Linked DNA regions of Arabidopsis thaliana. The protein of the gene in region 2 interacts with the protein of the main gene of each other region in a pairwise test. Each region holds a gene or a part of one and is shown on either strand. Other genes may lie near its edges.

What was found.
Region 1: the proteins of CJD1 (region 2) and AT3G53690 interact in a two-hybrid assay, tested with the Arabidopsis thaliana proteins (one study listed by BioGRID).
Region 3: the proteins of CJD1 (region 2) and SKL2 interact in a two-hybrid assay, tested with the Arabidopsis thaliana proteins (one study listed by BioGRID).
Region 4: the proteins of CJD1 (region 2) and AT2G22100 interact in a two-hybrid assay, tested with the Arabidopsis thaliana proteins (one study listed by BioGRID).

The regions. Positions count from the first base shown.
Region 1 is NC_003074.8:19,898,253-19,901,863, reverse strand, and holds AT3G53690 (RING/U-box superfamily protein), read left to right. Parts: upstream 1-1,628; 5' UTR 1,629-1,819; coding exon 1,820-2,703; intron 2,704-2,788; coding exon 2,789-2,867; 3' UTR 2,868-3,076; downstream 3,077-3,611. Other genes in the region: MEE40 (Pentatricopeptide repeat (PPR) superfamily protein), read right to left, coding at 1-1,561.
Region 2 is NC_003070.9:2,747,810-2,753,141, forward strand, and holds CJD1 (Chloroplast J-like domain 1), read right to left. Parts: upstream 3,812-5,332; 5' UTR 3,401-3,811; coding exon 3,270-3,400; intron 2,970-3,269; coding exon 2,870-2,969; intron 2,785-2,869; coding exon 2,680-2,784; intron 2,584-2,679; coding exon 2,506-2,583; intron 2,417-2,505; coding exon 2,361-2,416; intron 2,268-2,360; coding exon 2,210-2,267; intron 1,993-2,209; coding exon 1,867-1,992; intron 1,769-1,866; coding exon 1,673-1,768; intron 1,454-1,672; coding exon 1,382-1,453; intron 968-1,381; coding exon 905-967; 3' UTR 552-904; downstream 1-551. Other genes in the region: AT1G08645 (uncharacterized protein), read right to left, coding at 4,004-4,021, 4,133-4,198, 4,442-4,786; PPCK1 (phosphoenolpyruvate carboxylase kinase 1), read left to right, coding at 4,397-5,201. UniProt on the Arabidopsis thaliana protein: Probably involved in the regulation of the fatty acid metabolic process in chloroplasts, especially chloroplastic galactolipids monogalactosyldiacylglycerol (MGDG) and digalactosyldiacylglycerol (DGDG).
Region 3 is NC_003071.7:14,912,276-14,917,196, reverse strand, and holds SKL2 (shikimate kinase like 2), read right to left. Parts: upstream 3,261-4,921; 5' UTR 3,160-3,260; coding exon 2,917-3,159; intron 2,745-2,916; coding exon 2,554-2,744; intron 2,461-2,553; coding exon 2,266-2,460; intron 2,159-2,265; coding exon 2,097-2,158; intron 2,014-2,096; coding exon 1,947-2,013; intron 1,874-1,946; coding exon 1,755-1,873; intron 1,663-1,754; coding exon 1,486-1,662; intron 1,398-1,485; coding exon 1,288-1,397; 3' UTR 529-1,287; downstream 1-528. Other genes in the region: SRO1 (uncharacterized protein), read left to right, coding at 1-113, 192-299; AT2G35490 (Plastid-lipid associated protein PAP / fibrillin family protein), read left to right, coding at 3,400-4,022, 4,194-4,389, 4,577-4,888.
Region 4 is NC_003071.7:9,391,011-9,395,574, reverse strand, and holds AT2G22100 (RNA-binding (RRM/RBD/RNP motifs) family protein), read left to right. Parts: upstream 1-1,980; 5' UTR 1,981-2,029; coding exon 2,030-3,178; 3' UTR 3,179-4,021; downstream 4,022-4,564. Other genes in the region: AT2G22120 (RING/FYVE/PHD zinc finger superfamily protein), read right to left, coding at 303-411, 517-663, 1,042-1,127, 1,423-1,549. UniProt on the Arabidopsis thaliana protein: Acts as a component of a complex regulating the turnover of mRNAs in the nucleus. Binds with high affinity to RNA molecules that contain U-rich sequences in 3'-UTRs. May function in complex with UBP1 and contribute to the stabilization of mRNAs in the nucleus.

The DNA.
Region 1 (3,611 bases), on a different chromosome or scaffold from region 2:
CTCGCCTGCTTTTACAAAGCCCATCGATGAGTGTGTTGTATGTAACAGAGTTTCTTGAAACTCCATGTACTTCCATCTCATCAAATATCTCCTCGGCTTCTCTAGTCTTGTTGGCTTTGCAAAACCCATCAATCAAAGTGTTGTAAGTTATCACACTCCGTGCACAACCACTCAATTCCATTTGTTTAAGCATGTTCAGAGCTTCATCTAGCTTCCCTTTGGAGCATAAGCTATCAATCAGCATATTGTAAGTGAACTCGTCAGGCTCACATCCTTTGCTCCTCATCTCTTCAAACAACTCCATCGCAACCCGGTGATTCCTAGTCAAACACAAACCTTGGATCAAAGAGTTAAATGTACAAACGTCAGGAAGGATCCCTTTGCTGGTGAGAACACGGGCAAGCTCCGTAGCTTCCTCGACCTGATTCTCTTTACATAACGTGCTGATCAAAGTGTTGTAAGTAACCGTGTTCGGAGAACAATCTCTAGTAATCATCTGATCAAGAACCTCCACTGCTTCTTTCACCTCTCCAAGCTTACACAAACCCGAAATCACCGAGTTATAAGTATACACATCTGGATCATACCCTTCTTGAAGCATCACATCCATAATCTCAATAGCATGCTTCACATGCCCTGCTTTACACAAACCATTAACTAACGTATTAAACGTGTACTGATCCGGAAAAAACCCGTCTTGATTAGACATCTCCTGAATGAAATTGAGAGCGTCTTCGACTCTCCCTTCCTTACAAAAACCATGAACAATAACATTAACACTCACATTAGACCATGAACAACCAAACTCAACCATCTGTTCCCTAATCCTCAAAGCTCCATCCAAGTCCCCTTCTTCAATATAGCCTTGCATAACCGTTGTAAATGTCTTCTCATCAGGAACAAGACCGTAACTAGGCATATCCTCCAACATCAAAATCGCAGGTCTAAGCTGATGAGCTCTACACAAAGCTTTGATCAAAACATTAAACGTAGATACATCTGGTTTAATCCCCCAGACACTCATCTTCGCGTGAGAAATCTCAACGAGTTTCAGACTATTCCCATCAACGAGAAGATTCAACATCCGGTTATAAAAATGGGTATCGGGTTTTAACCCGAATTCGTCAATCATCCAATCAACAACACTTAAAATCTCATCTTGCAATTCGAACTGAGCATAACTCTCGATTAATATCAAGAAAGTAGAAGTACCCATTTCGCATCTGGAACTCTTCATGTCTTCAAGAATTTTCTTCATGTCATCAAACGAACCAGACCGACCTAGCCGAAGGAGAATCTCTTCGTATAGAGCAGGTTCAGGTGAGAAATTTGGCTTCTTAGAGGCCAGATTAAAGAGACGAAGTGCGGCGGAATCATCAGGCTGGCTACGGAGTGAGTCGAGAAGCTTGACATCGGTAGAGGAGAGAGCTGCTGAGTGAGGAGAAGCGAAGGAGATGGTAGAAGAAGGAGGAGTTAGATTGAGAGAGAAGGAATGATGAGTTAGGGTTACAGCTTGAGAGATAGAAAATGGATAGAATTTGAGACATGAAGAGAAAGCCATAGTTTTCAGTTTCCAGAGAAGATGATGAGAGTGAAGCAACAAAATGGGTTTAAGGATTACAATTTTTTGCTAACCGACCGGTTCGTTCGTGAACCGGACAATTATTAAAAATTCGATTTAGGTTTTTTAGCAGTAAGCCAAAAAGTGAGACGCTTTGGAAAATGGAAAGTGATTCAATGCAAAAGAGCAAAAAGTAGTAAGTGATTCATAAACCCTAATTCTGATTGTGGACGAAACCTAATTAGAATCATTTTTGAAATGGCGACACAGTCAGTTAACGCAGTGATCGTTGATCTTCCCGGAGATGTAAACGACGACGGCGATAATTCCGATTGTTTCATCTTCTCCACTCCTCCTCTCTCTGCACGTGGTTCCACAAAGCGTGATGCTATTTCCGTTGAGAATTACGATCGTGATCGGAAACTTCAACGTCTCTGGGTCTACCCTCCTCACAAAACCGTAATCAAGTCAGAATCTCCAATTTACATAGATCTTGATCTTTACGATGATGAAGACGATGATATCAGAATCCTCTGTTTCGCACCACCAATCCACAGAGAAAAGGGTCAGTCTTCTTCGTCAAAGACGGCGACTTTCGACTGTGAGATATGTGTTGATTCAAAATCCATAATTGAGTCGTTTCGTATCGGTGGATGCTCTCACTTCTACTGCAACGACTGTGTTTCGAAATATATAGCAGCTAAATTACAAGACAACATTCTCTCAATCGAATGTCCTGTCTCTGGTTGTTCTGGTCGGCTCGAGCCAGATCAGTGTCGTCAGATTTTGCCTAAAGAGGTTTTTGATCGGTGGGGTGATGCTTTGTGTGAAGCAGTAGTGATGCGTTCGAAGAAATTCTACTGTCCTTACAAGGATTGCTCTGCTTTGGTTTTCTTAGAAGAGAGTGAAGTAAAGATGAAAGATTCGGAGTGTCCTCATTGTCATAGAATGGTGTGTGTGGAGTGTGGGACTCAGTGGCATCCGGAGATGACTTGCGAGGAGTTTCAGAAGCTAGCGGCGAACGAGAGAGGAAGAGATGATATTTTGCTTGCGACGATGGCAAAGCAAAAGAAATGGAAAAGATGTCCTTCTTGCAAATTCTATATTGAGAAATCTCAGGGTTGCTTATACATGAAGTGCAGGTATATATATGTATCTTCTTCTTCTTAACAAGAGTGTTTTTAAAAAACATTGTTTTTATATATCTTTTTAAACACATTTTGGCAGGTGTGGGTTGGCTTTTTGCTACAACTGTGGAACTCCATCGAGGGACCATACTCATTATTGTTATAATTGTAAGCGTTGATATTTAGCATCAGCATTTCTTATTATATAGGTCTCTAATCTAAAGCTAAGCTTAAGCTTTAAGGATATGGATTTCTATTTGGTCTTGATGCTTTGTACCTATTTTCGCTATTTAGGTAAAAAGGTAATATCAATCATATGGACAATAATTTATCGTGTTAACAATGTAAGATCCTAGAAACAAAAATTCCTTTTCAACTTCTAGCACCTTAACTCTGTTTTACCGTATAGAATGCAACCTTTGTCTTATTTCTTTACATAGGTCTTGTTCCTCTCTTTGACCATCCAAACTTCATGGACTATATCAGGCTTTAAACTTCTTCTTAGGTCTAATCTCTTTTGTTTCCTCTTGTAACATCTCTTAGGATTTTCTCGTTTGAGATCATCATACCTACCATATCCACATAGGATTCTACATTCTCTGATACCTCTAATTCTTACTATCATCAAAAATATGCATTGAAGAAGGGTGAGAAAGGGTTCATTATTAAATAAAAACCTTTATACATTAATCTACATAGATATGTACCTTTGGTCTTCATAGCTAATACCAGATTCCGTTACATTTGCCAACGAATCTACTTAATTCCAGCCACAGAGAGAACAATTCCAGTCACTCTAAAGTGACTTTGCTACTACGTTGTCTACATATTCTCTGAAAACATGATATTATCTCAAGTTACATTAACCAATATGAATGGAAAAAATGACTGTTAATGATAACTTATTATTTTAAACAGAGCCG
Region 2 (5,332 bases):
AATAAATCGAACTTGTGTGTGTGTTTTCAAAAGAAGGAGAAGAAGAAGATGGAAAATGAGAGCGAATTAGGGAAACGTACCACTTTAGTAGTAAGAAACGCTTTGAAGTTGAAGACGTAACTCAAATATACTTTTCAAAGTATGTACTGTATATATAGTGTGGAGCAGCTGTACGTACTCCATCTATAAATAGAGAAAGACAGAGATATAGAGATAGAGACAGAGTCAGCTCCAACGTGTCAGCTCTACTCATAATTGGCGTCTCTGTTCTCTCTCTATCACATTTGTTTTATTTCCCATCGGATTCACTTCACCTACATAGTCCTTTTTCTTTTGCTGACCGTAGTGGACACTCCTTTTTGATGACAGTCGAATTCAGTCTTAGCCACCTGACCTGACCTTTATCTAACCCAACCAATCAGATTCGTACCTCAAATCTATGAAACATCTTTTCAGATGATTTTTCTCGCCACCACACCAAAGATATTAGCTCTCTATTTTGATCCCTATAACTTTTCATCTATCATCAATTCTAAACTCTCCACAGTTGTGTTTTAACAAGGTTGATAACGTTTCTCATCTTCGTAACGCTTCAATTGTGTGTACGACTGATACTTTCAAGGTATCTCAAGATTTTTCACTTCACGCATATTATTGCTCCAATACAAAAATTAAAAAACCTTCCACATGCGATCCTCAGCATTAAACGTAAATAGACAAGACTTAGATTCTAAGGGATTTCTCTCTTGCAAAATTTACTTGATTTTCCACACAAAAGAAAGGTTATAAAGATAACCCCATCTCTCTGTAGAAAATAAACTTTTCATCTCCCAGCAACATCCTATAATACAGCATAACTTCTCCAAAAGCTTCTAACTGACCAATTCTCCTGTGGACTCTCGCATTATCTGTAAAACGACGCTATAACATAGAGCATGAAAGCCGATGACGCCGTCACTATAAGTTCCTGCAACCGAATTAGCACTGTTCAGTCAGTTCTTGTTACATCATCAAAAGCCTGGTTGACTGATATCACTTATGGAACTATTTAATTTACAGACCAGACCCTTCTCTTTGCTATATCTTAATTCAGCAATTGTGGCAACACATATCCAACTCATGTGTTCCCAATTCATACCTAATACTTGTGCATTTAGTTTTTATTTCAGTACAAGTACTTCTTATACCTATAGATGTCACAAATCAAAACAAACAGCACAATCATCTACAACCTAATCAACTAGTGCTGTTCATTGAGGCTTAGCCAACAATTGACCTAAATATCCTAAACCATTTTTTGATCAAAATGATCATTTTGTGTGGGACTAGTTAAGAGAAGGTTTCAAGCGAAGAGAGATGTAAGTTATGCAAAAAAAACAACCTGGTTGTTGTAAAGAACCATGGGTATGGAGTAGCCCATGTACTCGATGCCATTTAAGAACCCAGTGTATGCCTGCAAAACATTGTTCACTGAGAGTTAAACATAGGTATACACAATTAAAAGAACTCCTGACATATCTAATAACTAGATCAAACAATCAGGAGCATCCATAAAATAACGCTTGGACACATTTATATCACATATGCCGCTCTCTTTGAATAAACCTAATACTAGATGGTGCAACATAAAACGGATTCTTTAAAATAACGGAGTCTTGATGGATATGCATACCAAAGATGCTAAGAGTATAGAGCCAAAAACTAAGGAAAGAGAACGAAGAAGCCTCTTTCCCATTCTCAATCCCCGTCCACTTTCTTCGCCTTCCTCCTGCAGCCAGTGTCAAACATCAGTGCACATCAGGATTAAAAGAGCCACTAAGTGTACGGACATCAAAACATAAGGCTTCAAAAAAATTCAAAACTCACGTTATATATTGGAGATGAAGGTGCTTCAAAGGATTTTAATTTCTCAAAAATTCTGTAAACAAATACAAAAGACATGAACTGCAGCGGTTTGTATTCAACATTACGTTTTATCGCAATCCATGCACTCTGCAAAAGAAAGAAACAGAAAGAGTGGGAGAGGCTCATATCTGATTGTACTTGAAATGTCATATATGCATAAATGTGTAAGAAACAAGTCACTTTTTCTGCAAGAATTCAGTCATTTATGCATGATGTCTTGATTCATAAAGGGTACAGATAAAAAAAAAAAAAAAACTGACATTTCTAATAATAGCAAACCTCATATTTCTTAAAAACTACTTACAAACACAACTGATATTGCTAGGTTGATCAACATATCATTCTTGGAGGACCTGGAAAACCTGTAACAACAAGGGTAAATCATGAGTAGTAACAGATCCTGCTTTTGAATGATGAAAATTAATAATGCGAGTAGACTCATAAAGAATCTCTACCTTGGACCCCATGGTATAATGGGCTGCTTATCAGCATATTTAATGTCCTTGGAAACCTGAATTATGAAAAATTCACCAAGGATTGAGAAAGAAAGGTCATAGAGTTCAAGACAGCATATGACAAGAAAGAGGATACGATACACACCTTAAACGAACCAAAAGTCACACCCTTTTTCCTATTCATCAACTGGGCATACATGAGCTTATCATATGCCTTCTCAAGCTATCAAAAGGTAAAACAGAGACGTGTTAACAAGAAAAAAAAAAAAAAAAAATCACTTACAGGACTCCAAAGAAAGAGAGAGGTAACGTAACTTACTAGAGCAGCAGTGGCTTCATCACCGCTCCTCTGAGCATCTTTAAGTTTCCTTCCATAAGTTTGCTTGATCTTGTCAAATCCCTCTATAGGGTTAACACCAAGAACCTGAGAAGGTACACACACTCATGTCATGAGAAATACACAACGACCAACAAAACAAGTCCTTTATAGGGCTCTAACGATCAATTACCTCATACGGATTAAAGTCAGCATCAGACTGTGGATTACCAGCCGCAGACGAAGCAGCACGTATCACAATCCTGCTCTGTAACACCTTTCCGAGGGGAAGCCTGAGAATTTCAATCATCCTCATTACAATGATAACGTGTACCAAATGGTCTGATAAGCACAACAATGGAACTCTCTTAAGTGCAATTGAAAGTTGTAAACTTTATAGGCAACAGTAAGAAGCTCATCCACGAATTAAGCCGTCGGAATTCAATTGACAATGTTTATGAAGGAAGAAGATAACGGTTACCCACAAAATCCGTAAGTTTACACAACAAAAAGAACTATCAAACGATGATTCTTCGACTTTAAAGCCACCGAAGAGAAGTGGAAAACAAAAAAGCAGCATCAAGAGAAAGTACCTGACAAAAGAAGGCGATTTGGGAGCGCGAAGAGAGTTCCTGAGAGAAATTTGAGGATGATGGTAACGAAGCGCGTTTGATGTTGAGAAAGCCATGACGGAGGAGCAAGAAGTAGATAGTGCGGGAGCCATGGCAGAGCAGAGCTCTAGTAGGGTTAAAAGGAAACTAGAAGGTTGGTGATTGATGTTTGGAAGCTAATCATTCAATACTCAATAGTTTGTTAAGGCTAAAAACTGAGGCCTGACCAATAGTTCGCGTGGCCCAATGGATAAGGCGCTCGCCTCCGGAGGGGGATATTCTCGGTTCGACCTCCATCGTGAACGAATTAGGTAATAATAAAGACGGCCTGCTTTCTTCAGCCCAACTGATTTATCGGCCCAATCCAGTGTCTTTATTAGTTTGTTTTCGTGGGATCTCTGGTTTACTTACTTGCAGGGATTATCTCCCAATTCCAATCCAAACATGCCACACTTTTCTTATCTCTTTTTCAGATTTCAATCTCGTCCAAGAAATCGTTTAGTACTCACATTCAATTTGGAAATGTTTTTGCATAAATTGGGGTTGGATTTCCTACCTCTTTTTCACTAGATTGTGCATTATCAATTTATGAACTTTTTCTGGAAACATATTAAATTGTAGATCCAATATTTTATCTTAACAAATCTGGATCTGTTGAGAATGTTTTTCTGTAATTTAGAGAGGATTGTAATTGTGTAGTACATTTGATAATAAACTTAAATGTGAATTTTAGACTACCACCAAGTAATTATCATTTCAAAGAACAAACCAAATAGATAATAAAGAACTGTTAGAAAGTAAAATTGTATATAATAAGATAAGAAAAGACATTACAAAGTACAAACCTTCTCCAAGTAAACTTCTAACAAAACAAAAAAATAGATTTGGATTGGGAAATAATATCTAAAATCCTATTTAAAACAAAATAAAAACAAAAAAGATATAACGTTAAGGAAAAGGAAAATACTAGTAGAAAAAAAAAACATGTAGGCATCAAAAGGAATATTCTCAAGAGTTTTGGCTATAAAAAAAGGTAGAGCCGACTCAAGAGGTCTTCTTAACTCACACAAGAACCAACACAAAACAAAAAATATTAAGAAAGTGATATTATGACTTGCAGCCAAACACTCGGAAACAACAACACCAACAAATACCAGATCTGCGAGGAGATCGGCCGTGGCCGTTTCGGCACCGTCTCTCGCGTCTACGCTCCGGCCACCGGTGATTTCTTCGCTTGCAAAACCATCGACAAAGCCTCTCTCTCCGACGACCTTGACCGTGCCTGTCTCGACAACGAGCCTAAGCTCATGGCTCTCTTGTCCTATCACCCTAACATCGTTCAAATCCATGATCTCATCGACACTGATTCGACTCTCTCCATCTTCATGGAGCTCGTCCATCCCTCTGTTTCGATCTACGACCGTCTCGTCTCTTCTGGAACCTTCTTTGAGCCTCAGACGGCGTCGTTCGCTAAACAGATTCTCCAGGCGCTTTCGCATTGTCACCGATACGGCGTCGTTCACAGGGATATTAAACCGGAGAACATTCTGGTAGATCTACGAAACGATACGGTTAAGATCTGCGATTTCGGTTCAGGGATTTGGTTAGGTGAGGGAGAGACCACCGAAGGAGTCGTCGGAACGCCGTATTACGTGGCGCCGGAGGTTTTAATGGGATATTCTTACGGAGAGAAGGTCGATCTATGGAGCGCCGGCGTCGTTTTGTACACGATGCTCGCTGGAACTCCACCGTTTTACGGCGAGACAGCTGAAGAGATATTCGAAGCGGTACTCAGAGGAAATCTCCGTTTTCCGACGAAGATATTCCGGGGGGTTTCATCTATGGCTAAAGATTTCCTAAGGAAATTGATATGCAAAGATGCTTCTAGAAGATTCTCAGCCGAACAAGCATTAAGTAAGATTCTAAAACCATCAGATCTGTTTCTCTGTTGAATTTTTAATGTCAATAAATTTCATCTATTTTTAACAGATAATGTTATCTTATCCACACTAATCCATTTTTTAGTAGGTTGGTTTAATGATAAA
Region 3 (4,921 bases), on a different chromosome or scaffold from region 2:
GTAGAAGGCCCAGATCTCCTATAATGCCTTTCCCTCTGCTGTTCAAAGCAATCTCGAGCAAAATTGCTCGTAAAGACATGGATTTGATAATTGCTGGTTACCAGGAACTCAGGGTAAATAATATAAACCATGTCTTTTACCAATAGTCAAGGTTATCATATTGTATTAACATAATCGGTGTGCTCTTGCAGGAGAAGAAGGTGTCGAGAAAGGAATTTTATAAGACGCTGAGTATGATTGTAGGAGATGATGATCTGCTGATATCTACAATAACAGGCCTTCAAAGGAGTTTGGGTTAGATTAATGTGTCGACTTCTCTTTGCTGTCGTGAAACCTTAATAGTTTGGATTACGACAAACGTGACTTGATCTTTAGAAACTTAGTAGTAGTACTGTTATATTTACTCTTTTGGTGAAACTAGTCTCCATTATCCTGTTTTTCTTTACTTGGAATCAAAGAGTCTTTTATTGATCAACAGCCTTGGTTCTTTGTGAGGTTTAATTCATCAGCTGGAAGTTATTCAACAGCCTTAGTTTTAAAAAGCGCGCTAATGGCGTGCCATGGCGCATAGCGCACCGATGCTCTAAGAATAGGGCAACAAGACGTGGAGGCGAGGCGACATCTATAATGCGCACGCCATACGTGAGCCTTGGCCGATGCACAAGGTGGCAAAGCGATCGCCTCTTGTGTTCAGGCGAAAACTCTTCGAAACCAACAACAGAATTCTGTGATTTTAGGGTTTGCACGAAGAAATGACTAGGAGGAATAGGATAAACCATTTTCTAAACCTAGCTGGTTAATACATGATTCAATTTAGCTGGTCAATACCTAATCCACGACTAGAAAGTTTAACCATGAGTTATAATTAGCTTATCAAACCAAATCAATCCTAGGTTTATCTTAAACTAAAACGGATTTGACCCTTACCTCTTAACCCACGACATTTTAACCAGTTAGAAGATGTAAAATCCCTAATTTTTCTAAATAGAACACCATAGACGATATAAGCTTGAAGGCTAAAACCATATGCAGAGAATCTGTTAATAGAACACCACAGATCTAAAAAGCGCGCGCTTTGGTGAGCCATGGCACATAGCGCACTAAAGGACTCTCTGAGCCATGGTGCGCTTTGTGCCATTTAAAACTCAGATTGGTAGTCAATTCTCAAATTATCCAATATACAACTTCTTTAACAATTAAATACCATTGACAATGACAACAATAACAGAAAATTTCTTCAAGAGCATTCGTTTGTAGGAGAGAGCAAAAAGCATGTCTTGACACTGTTTATGTAAACTGTGGATGAGGTCCAGTGTCAGACGATGGATCCCATCCCGGCGGTTTTATATTGGGCCAATCGCCACGGCATCCCAAGCGTATGTACAAACTCTTCTTACCTTCAATATCATAAAAGACGCATTTAATCTCCAAAACATTTATCAGATTAAAGCATCAATTTACAAATGGGTTTCTTCTATTTATTACCTGGAAGTCCCTTGTCTGAGATGATCAGTTGCTTAAGTGCACTCAAGGAAGCCTGAGCCACGCTCTTTGCATGCGTCGGGTCCCAACCTTGGAGCTTCACCACAACGTCGGCGTTTGAATACCCAATCTCCCTCTCTTGCTTACTTCTCCTCGCTTCTTCTTTAGCTGACTCTTCATCTACATTCAGAACCAATCTTGAATGTATAAGCAGTGATTCTCGTTTTCTGTTCAGAAGGGTTCATTTTAAGTGGATGTAGAGAGAAATTGACCTGTGGCTTCAGTCTGTGATACCCAAACGGTAAATCCGGAGTAAAGATGTCTCCACTGATCAGCTCTCCCCGCAGCTCCATGTTTACCTCCCAAAGTTGAGACAACAGTACGCACATGGCTGCAAAGACATGGAGATCAGTGGCTAATCTTGGTAACTGGAAAGAGATTGAACACTAGACATGACTTTTTACCTGCTCAAGCTTTCCAATACCGAACTCTCTGCTTCAGCTACAGAATCCGGCCCTTCTGCAAGAATCCCTAAAATGAAGACAAACAAAAGGGTCCTGAGAAGTGAGGAAGATTCTTGTTAGATGATGACCATGATCCAAAAGCAAACTTACAAGAATCGATTGTTTGCTTGGAAAAGCTTTCCAGCAATTCCTTTGAATCTAAAGGACTGTACCTGCAGATCATAACAAGTGTATAAGACTCTGAAATACTATTCATACTGAGCTCATGAACGAAAGGCGGGAACTGAATTCACCCACTGAGAAGAATCTGAATTCATACCCAAGGCCAACGGCTAGCTCTCGAGACACTTTTTGGTTGATTTCAGTTGAATCTCCAACAATGTAGATTGATGCACCTTTAAGAAGTTGCATCATTCCTGCAGTCAAAGACTCCCAGGACTCGACAATATCAGGCCACTTCAATTCCCCATCCACCTTCTTCATATTCACAACCAACTGATCTTCGTCTATGTACCTGTTCTGGATCAAAACCAAAACTTCAGCCCTCAAGGAAATGTCACACATCACAAAAACAAGTCATATAATGCAAGATTTACACGTAGCTAACCATATTGTTTCAGAGGGCATAATCTTCTCAAAGAGATGGTTAGTCTCTAGAAGTGTAATCAGCAATCCATTCCGCTTTTCTTTAACGGCTAACGATGTTCCATCTGCGTCAACAGATATATCCTTTGGAGAAAGTATCTCACCTGTCTTTAACCTCAATCTTAATTCCACCTCTTTGCCACCATCCGTGAACTGCATCATATATGAAAACGATTCAATTTTTATCTAACTAATGTACAACAACTACATGATCATGGTATATATACATAGACCTTGGAACCAGCCATTTATACGCAATTCTCCATTTTATCACTCAGACTGATAGACCAGCAACACTAGTATAGACGTGAATACGAAAATTCACCTCGTAATCGATAGTGCTGGTGGATACGGCGGATAAGCAATTACATGAGAAGCTATTAAACCGGTCGGGGATAACATTTTGAGAGAATCGCCGGAAGCCGCGACGTCGGAGGCTGTGAAATCCACTGAAAACGCGAGGAGAGGAACGAATCCGATTCGAAGAAAGGAAGGTCGCTTGAGTTGTGACAGGGTTTAGTGAAGGAGAGTTGAAGATTATAGCCAAACCAGAAGCAAAAGCAGCCATTGATGATTGATTTCAAACTCACTCACTCAGACAAAGTATCACTACGGGGATAAGGGAAAGAGACGAATACAAATCGTTATAATGGGCCTGGGTCAGGCCCATTAGTTTAAAGTTTTTTTTTTTTTGAAGTTTTAAAATTGCGTTTTTTCTGGGGTCATCTAAATTTCGTGTGATTTTCTAAGACTTGAGTAATCTTGTTTTCCGAAATTTTCTCACCAAGCTCGAACACAAAGATCGGCCATGGCTACGCTCTTCACCGTCGCTCGTCCTTCTTCACTCCTCTATGTTTCCTCCATAAATCCAAGCAAGACCTTCTCTCCTTCTATCTCCCTAAAACTTAACTCTCTCTCTTTCTCTTTTGGTTATCGTCCCAAGCCACTCCGGTTTTCTAAAATCCGATCTTCTCTGCCCTCGGAATCTGAATCGGAATCCGACCTAGATGCGTCTGCAGTTACAGATGAATGGGGTGAGAAACCTGGAGATGCAAATGAGCCCGACTCTCAGCCAGATAATGTGACCGTGAATGTGATTACGGACGAATGGGGCGAGAAATCCGGACCCGAACTTGAGGAATCCGGGACCCGGTTTATGGAATCGGATCCTCCAAGGAACGAAGACGAGTGGGGAGGAGAAATTGGAGGAGAAACTGAAGCCGACGCTGGAAATGGAAGTGCGGTGTCTGACCCGACTTGGGAGCTGAAAAGGTGTTTGGCGGATTCGGTGTACGGAACTGAATTAGGTTTCAAAGCTGGGTCAGAAGTCCGAGCGGAGGTTTTGGAGCTTGTGAATCAACTGGAAGCTCTGAATCCTACTCCGGCTCCGTTAGAGAATCCAGAACTTCTCGACGGCAACTGGGTTTTGCTGTAAGTTAAATGATCTTGTTTCGATGATGTAGGAACCTTTAGTTGTCGCTGAGAATTTCAACACTGTGAATTGAGAATGAGACATTGTGAAATCTTTGATGAAGAATGATAATAATCCAGGAATTGTTACTGTTGTTCCAATTTTGTGTATTTTCTTGGGTTATGAAATAGGTACACTGCTTTCTCTGAGTTGATTCCTCTACTAGCTGCGGGTTCGACACCTTTGTTGAAAGTTAAAAGCATAAGTCAGTCAATAGACACAAACAATCTCATTATCGACAACTCCACTACACTCTCCAGCCCTTTTGCAGACTTCTCCTTCAGTGCTACTGCTTCATTTGAAGTTCGAAGCCCTTCAAGAATTGAGGTAACTAAACTTACAAACACCAGTTTGAGTATTAAGGTCACTGAAGCATTAACAGTTTGTACTTTTGATTACATTCCAGTCAATCAAACCTTACCATTAAAACAAAGCTATGTTAAAAAGGTTTCTTTGTAGATTGAATTTGTATTGGTATCACCATCTGGTTGTCTTAATGTTTGGTAAATGTCAGGTTTCTTTCAAAGAAGGCACGCTAAAACCCCCGGTGATCAAATCAAGTGTAGATCTCCCAGAGAGTGTGGGCGTCTTTGGGCAGCAGATTAGCCTTTCGTTGTTAAAGCAGTCTTTGAACCCCTTACAAGATGTGGCAGCAAACATTTCACGGGCACTCTCTGGTCAGCCACCTCTCAAGCTTCCGTTTCCAGGAAACCGAGGCAGCTCTTGGCTCTTGACCACTTATCTCGACAAGGATCTCAGGATTTCTAGAGGAGATGGTGGCCTTTTCGTGCTTGCCAGAGAAGGAAGCTCTCTGCTTGAGCTCTGAAATATTTGATAAAGTATATATATAGCAGGCTTC
Region 4 (4,564 bases), on a different chromosome or scaffold from region 2:
AACTCTAACTGTATATTCGTAACGTAGCCAACCCCTTAACTTTTGATCTAAATCTAACTGATCACAAAACCCTTGCTTCACTTCCTACTACGTAGAGGCAATGAAATCATCTAATAGCAAACTCCTTACATTGGAATCTAAGATTCTGATTGAAGCAAAGCTTTAACAAGGACTGTAGGACATATGTACAATAATAAACTTAGCATTCCCGTCTTACCAACTACACTTGGCAGAGGTCTTACTAAAAAATATTATCTTATCTAGAGGGGAATTTATTTAGATATTAAAGTTTGGGATCATACCACACATGTAATAAAACGTGACCTCACTGTCAAAACCCCATATATGACGAAGCCATGATTGCTGGTAACTATCTATGAAATAGACCATGTAGGCCAATGCAGCAATCACCTGTGAGCAGATGAAGTCATTTAAAAGGCATGAGTTAGATATATTACCAAATGAAAGAAAAACTACTGTAAGAAACAGAAGCACACATGAAAAATGAATACTTACAAGCTGAACAGCAAGAAATATGGATAAAATGTCTCGAGTAACAAAGAAGCGAAACTTCAATGTCCGCCATTTCCTATCTCCAGCACTGTGAACTCTCAGATAATATGGAGCCTTGCAAGTTGTGCAGTGCGCAAACGCGAAACCTTCCTGCAATAAAACGAGCTTACCAGGCGTCAACATCTGCTATTCATTATTTTACCATGATACTACCAAAAACACCACCACTCTAATCATCACTCATGAAACATATATCAACTCTGAAAATTTCACATCCAAAACCATCATTCTTTAGTTGTTTAGCCTTCGAATGGTTTTCGTATTCAACAAAAATAGAAATTTACAACAAAAGGGAAGTTCCTATTCAATAACACTTACACAGGTTGTCATATTTGATTGAAAATGGAAGGGATAACAACAAATAGTCAAAGAGTGAAAGCGAGCATTCATAGCTTTCAAGTTTCAAGTAACACTAACGACAGCCAAGCATGGACCCAAGTTGAGCTAAAGCGTATGAAAAAATGGAACCTTTATAGCTCTCCAATGATCCAAGCAATCACGATGTACATACTTTGATGTTCCTTTGCATTTGCATGGGGCAATGAAATCCCTACCTGACCATGATCAATAAATGAGCTTGAATCAACCAAGTAAGTTAGAACAAAAGCTCTCTCACTATATCACGGTTTTAAATCACTAGTCTTTTATAAAAAAAGAGTTTATCACTAACACTAATCTAAATCACATCAGAACCATTAACGATCTAGCCAATTCGAATTTCATAATCCGAATTCTTGAACTGAAGTTAGACATATCTATGAGCACATGAAAATGTTCAACAATCACTAGCAAGAAGCAAAGAATCTATTTAAGGAAGAAGCGAATCTAAATGGTTTTAGAAGACATTACCATCAGTTTCAAGGCAGATTCGGCACTGAATTTGTTCACCAGGTCCTCCAGCTTCGAGATCGATCTCGGAAGGCTCGACCATCGGCGACGGTGGAACCAACGGCGACAATTCCAGTTCGTCCGCCATTCAATTTCGAAATCTGGGTAAAACCCACGAATACCCAGAAAGAGAGAATAGAAAAGATCGAGACTTCGTCGAGCTATGATCCGATTTCGTTAGTTTAGCATTTATCGGTAGGTTTTTGTTGCCGTTAAACAAGTATGTGAATTGACCCGTCACTCACCGGTTCTTCGCCGGCACACAAAAACCAGAAATGTTGTATCTTTTTCCTTTTCTGTATTTTGACGTTTTTGCCCCTCTACTAATTCATGTTAAAAAAAAAAATTATGTGTTGCAAAAAAAAAAGCATGTCTGAGCCCGGGTTCGAACCGGGGACCTCTAGTGTGTGAGACTAGCGTGATAACCGACTACACCACCCAGACGTTTTTGTTAGACTCTTTACTTTATTATAAATATACTTAAATAATCTAGTGTTCTCTGGTGCACCCTATTTTAGAGGAGTTACTCTATTCAGAGTGTTTTTTTTGGTAGCCACTGCCGTCAACAATGGCGAAAGAAGGAGAAGAACGTAAGAAGGAGAAGAAAGAGAAGAAGGAGAGGAAGGAGAGGAAGCGTCGCGAAGCTGAAGAACTCGCTGTAAGAGAGAAGAAAATCTCAAAAAAACATAAATCGAAATCCAAAGAGGAAGAGAAACCAGAGAAATCAAAGAAGAAATCGAAGAAATACGAAGAAGTAGAAGAAGAGGAGAAATCTCCATCTCCATCTCCATCTCCTAAGAAATCGAAGGAGAGTAAGAAGAAACATAAGAGATCATCAGATGAATCCGAAGAGATCGTCGATTCAAAGCCTGTTACGGTCCCGATTGTTACCATTGAGTCTGATTCTGATTTCGAATTCGATAAGGAAGATATTAAGAATCTACTTGAATCTTACTCTAAAGAGGAGCTTATTAACCTAATTTACAAAACTGCTGAGAAAGGTTCTAAATTGATCTCAGCAGTGTTTGAATCAGCGGATAGAGATAGTTCTCAACGGAACATATTCGTGCGTGGTCTTGGATGGGATACAACGCATGAGAATCTCAAGGCGGCTTTTGAGGTTTATGGGGAGATAACGGAATGTTCTGTGGTTATGGATAAAGATACAGGAAGAGCTAAAGGTTTTGGCTTTGTGTTGTTTAAGACGCGTAAAGGAGCGAGAGCGGCGTTGAAGAATCCGGAGAAGAGAATGTATAATCGAACTGTTAGTTGTTTACCAGCTAGGCCGTTTAATTCTGGAAAGCCACGAGAACAACAACAACCGGTTGAGTCTGTGAAGATTGATTTGAGTCATACGGGTAATCAGAGTGAAATGGCTTTGCCTGGGATTGATTTGGGTCATGGACTTGATAAGGGACATCAGCAGCAGCAGAATATGTCAATGTATGCTGGACAGAACATGCCCTTTTATGGACATTCTCAGCCTCCTCCTGGTTTTAATCCTATGTATGGTGCAATGATGGGTAATCCGATGGTTGCTGGTTTACAGAATTATCGTATGTTTGGCTCGGGTATGATGAATCAAGGACCTATGATGCCACCGAATCATATGGGAATGGTGGGACAATATGTTGGTGATGGTAATGTTAACGGTGTTGGTGCGGGTGCTGGTGCTGGTGCTGGTTTTGATGGTGAACGTGCTTGGTATCTGAGATAAGAGAACCCAAGTGGTATGACCATGTTCTCTGATATTTCAAGTTATAGATTAGGCTAATGATTAGTCCGGTATCTTCGACTCCAACTTGATATTTTGGGAATTGCAGGAGTTTTTTTTGCGGATCTTTATTTTCTATGCCTGATGTTTCAAACCTACTTTTTTAGTTTCATTATTTATAGTCTCTTTTAACGAGGTATCTACCCCTATATGAGCCATTTTGAGGGAGATGTGTGCTCAAAGGATGAATTTTCTGTTGCTCTCTGGAAGTCTGTCATTGGTGTTCTGCTCTGTTCTCATAAACCAGTGAAATGTGGTCATTTTGTCTAGAAGATTTAGTTACTAGGATCAATATTGGTTTAAAGTAGTTTGCTATCTCTTTGTTTTCCCTTTTGGAGTCCCCCATTATGGTCTTCTGTCTTCTCCTTACCCATCAAACTCACGTCTGGTTTTCTTCTGTGGCATGGCGTATGTTTTTCTCTTTTGTTTTTCCTTGTTTTTGGTTTTATGTTTTCCCGCATTTTCATTGAATATCTGTTCGCTATAGCTGGAGAAGAAGCTTATGACATTTATAGTTTTGTCCACTATATGTCATAACTGCCAAAAGTCTGTATCTTCCAGCTGCAGTTGTCTTGAGACCCGTTTGTAGGATCAGACATAATGGTTTTACATTCTTGTTTTAAATCTGTCTTTTTGAGTACTGGAAAAAGTTTTGGGACTCTTTCAAAAGCTTCAAGTTGATTTTCTCTGGAATAAACAACCTGAGTTTTCTTTCCTTCAAGCATTGTTTTCTTCCCCATAGGTTTTTATAAGCTTCTCAATCTCTTTCATCACATTCCTCTTTTATGGTAGTGTCGCCCCTTTCTCTTTTGTATTTAAGAGTCCATTTTGATATCAGTTGCCAAGTTTTCTTGCCTAAGTTCAAGATTGTTTTTGGTCATCGGTACTTGGACCCAATTTGTTTTTCACCTTACATAGCTTTGTTCTGGATTTACCTTTTTTTTACCTGCTCGTTATTCATATTCTATATAACTCTGGTTATGGTAGCAAAGCATACTTGTTTTTTTTTTTTTTTTCTTTGGATTTTCACAATGACCTCACAGTGACCGATGATGCGAATGCTTGTTTTCTTAAGAGGATCAATCTTGTTTTCAGTTTTTCGATTTCTTAAGAGGATCAATCTTGTTTCTCGGTTTTTGGTCTTCTCTGCAGCTATCCATCCATCCATATGAATCAACTCGTATTAATCTATAGTATGCTTCAGCTAAATCAACTTTGGTTTGGTTTTGGTCATTTGATTTCGTTGTTTTGTGATCATGATCTTATGAGGGCTTTGTTTTTCTTTCCAATGGGGAAACTCTGAAAATCTTAAGAACAAAAACAAAACCC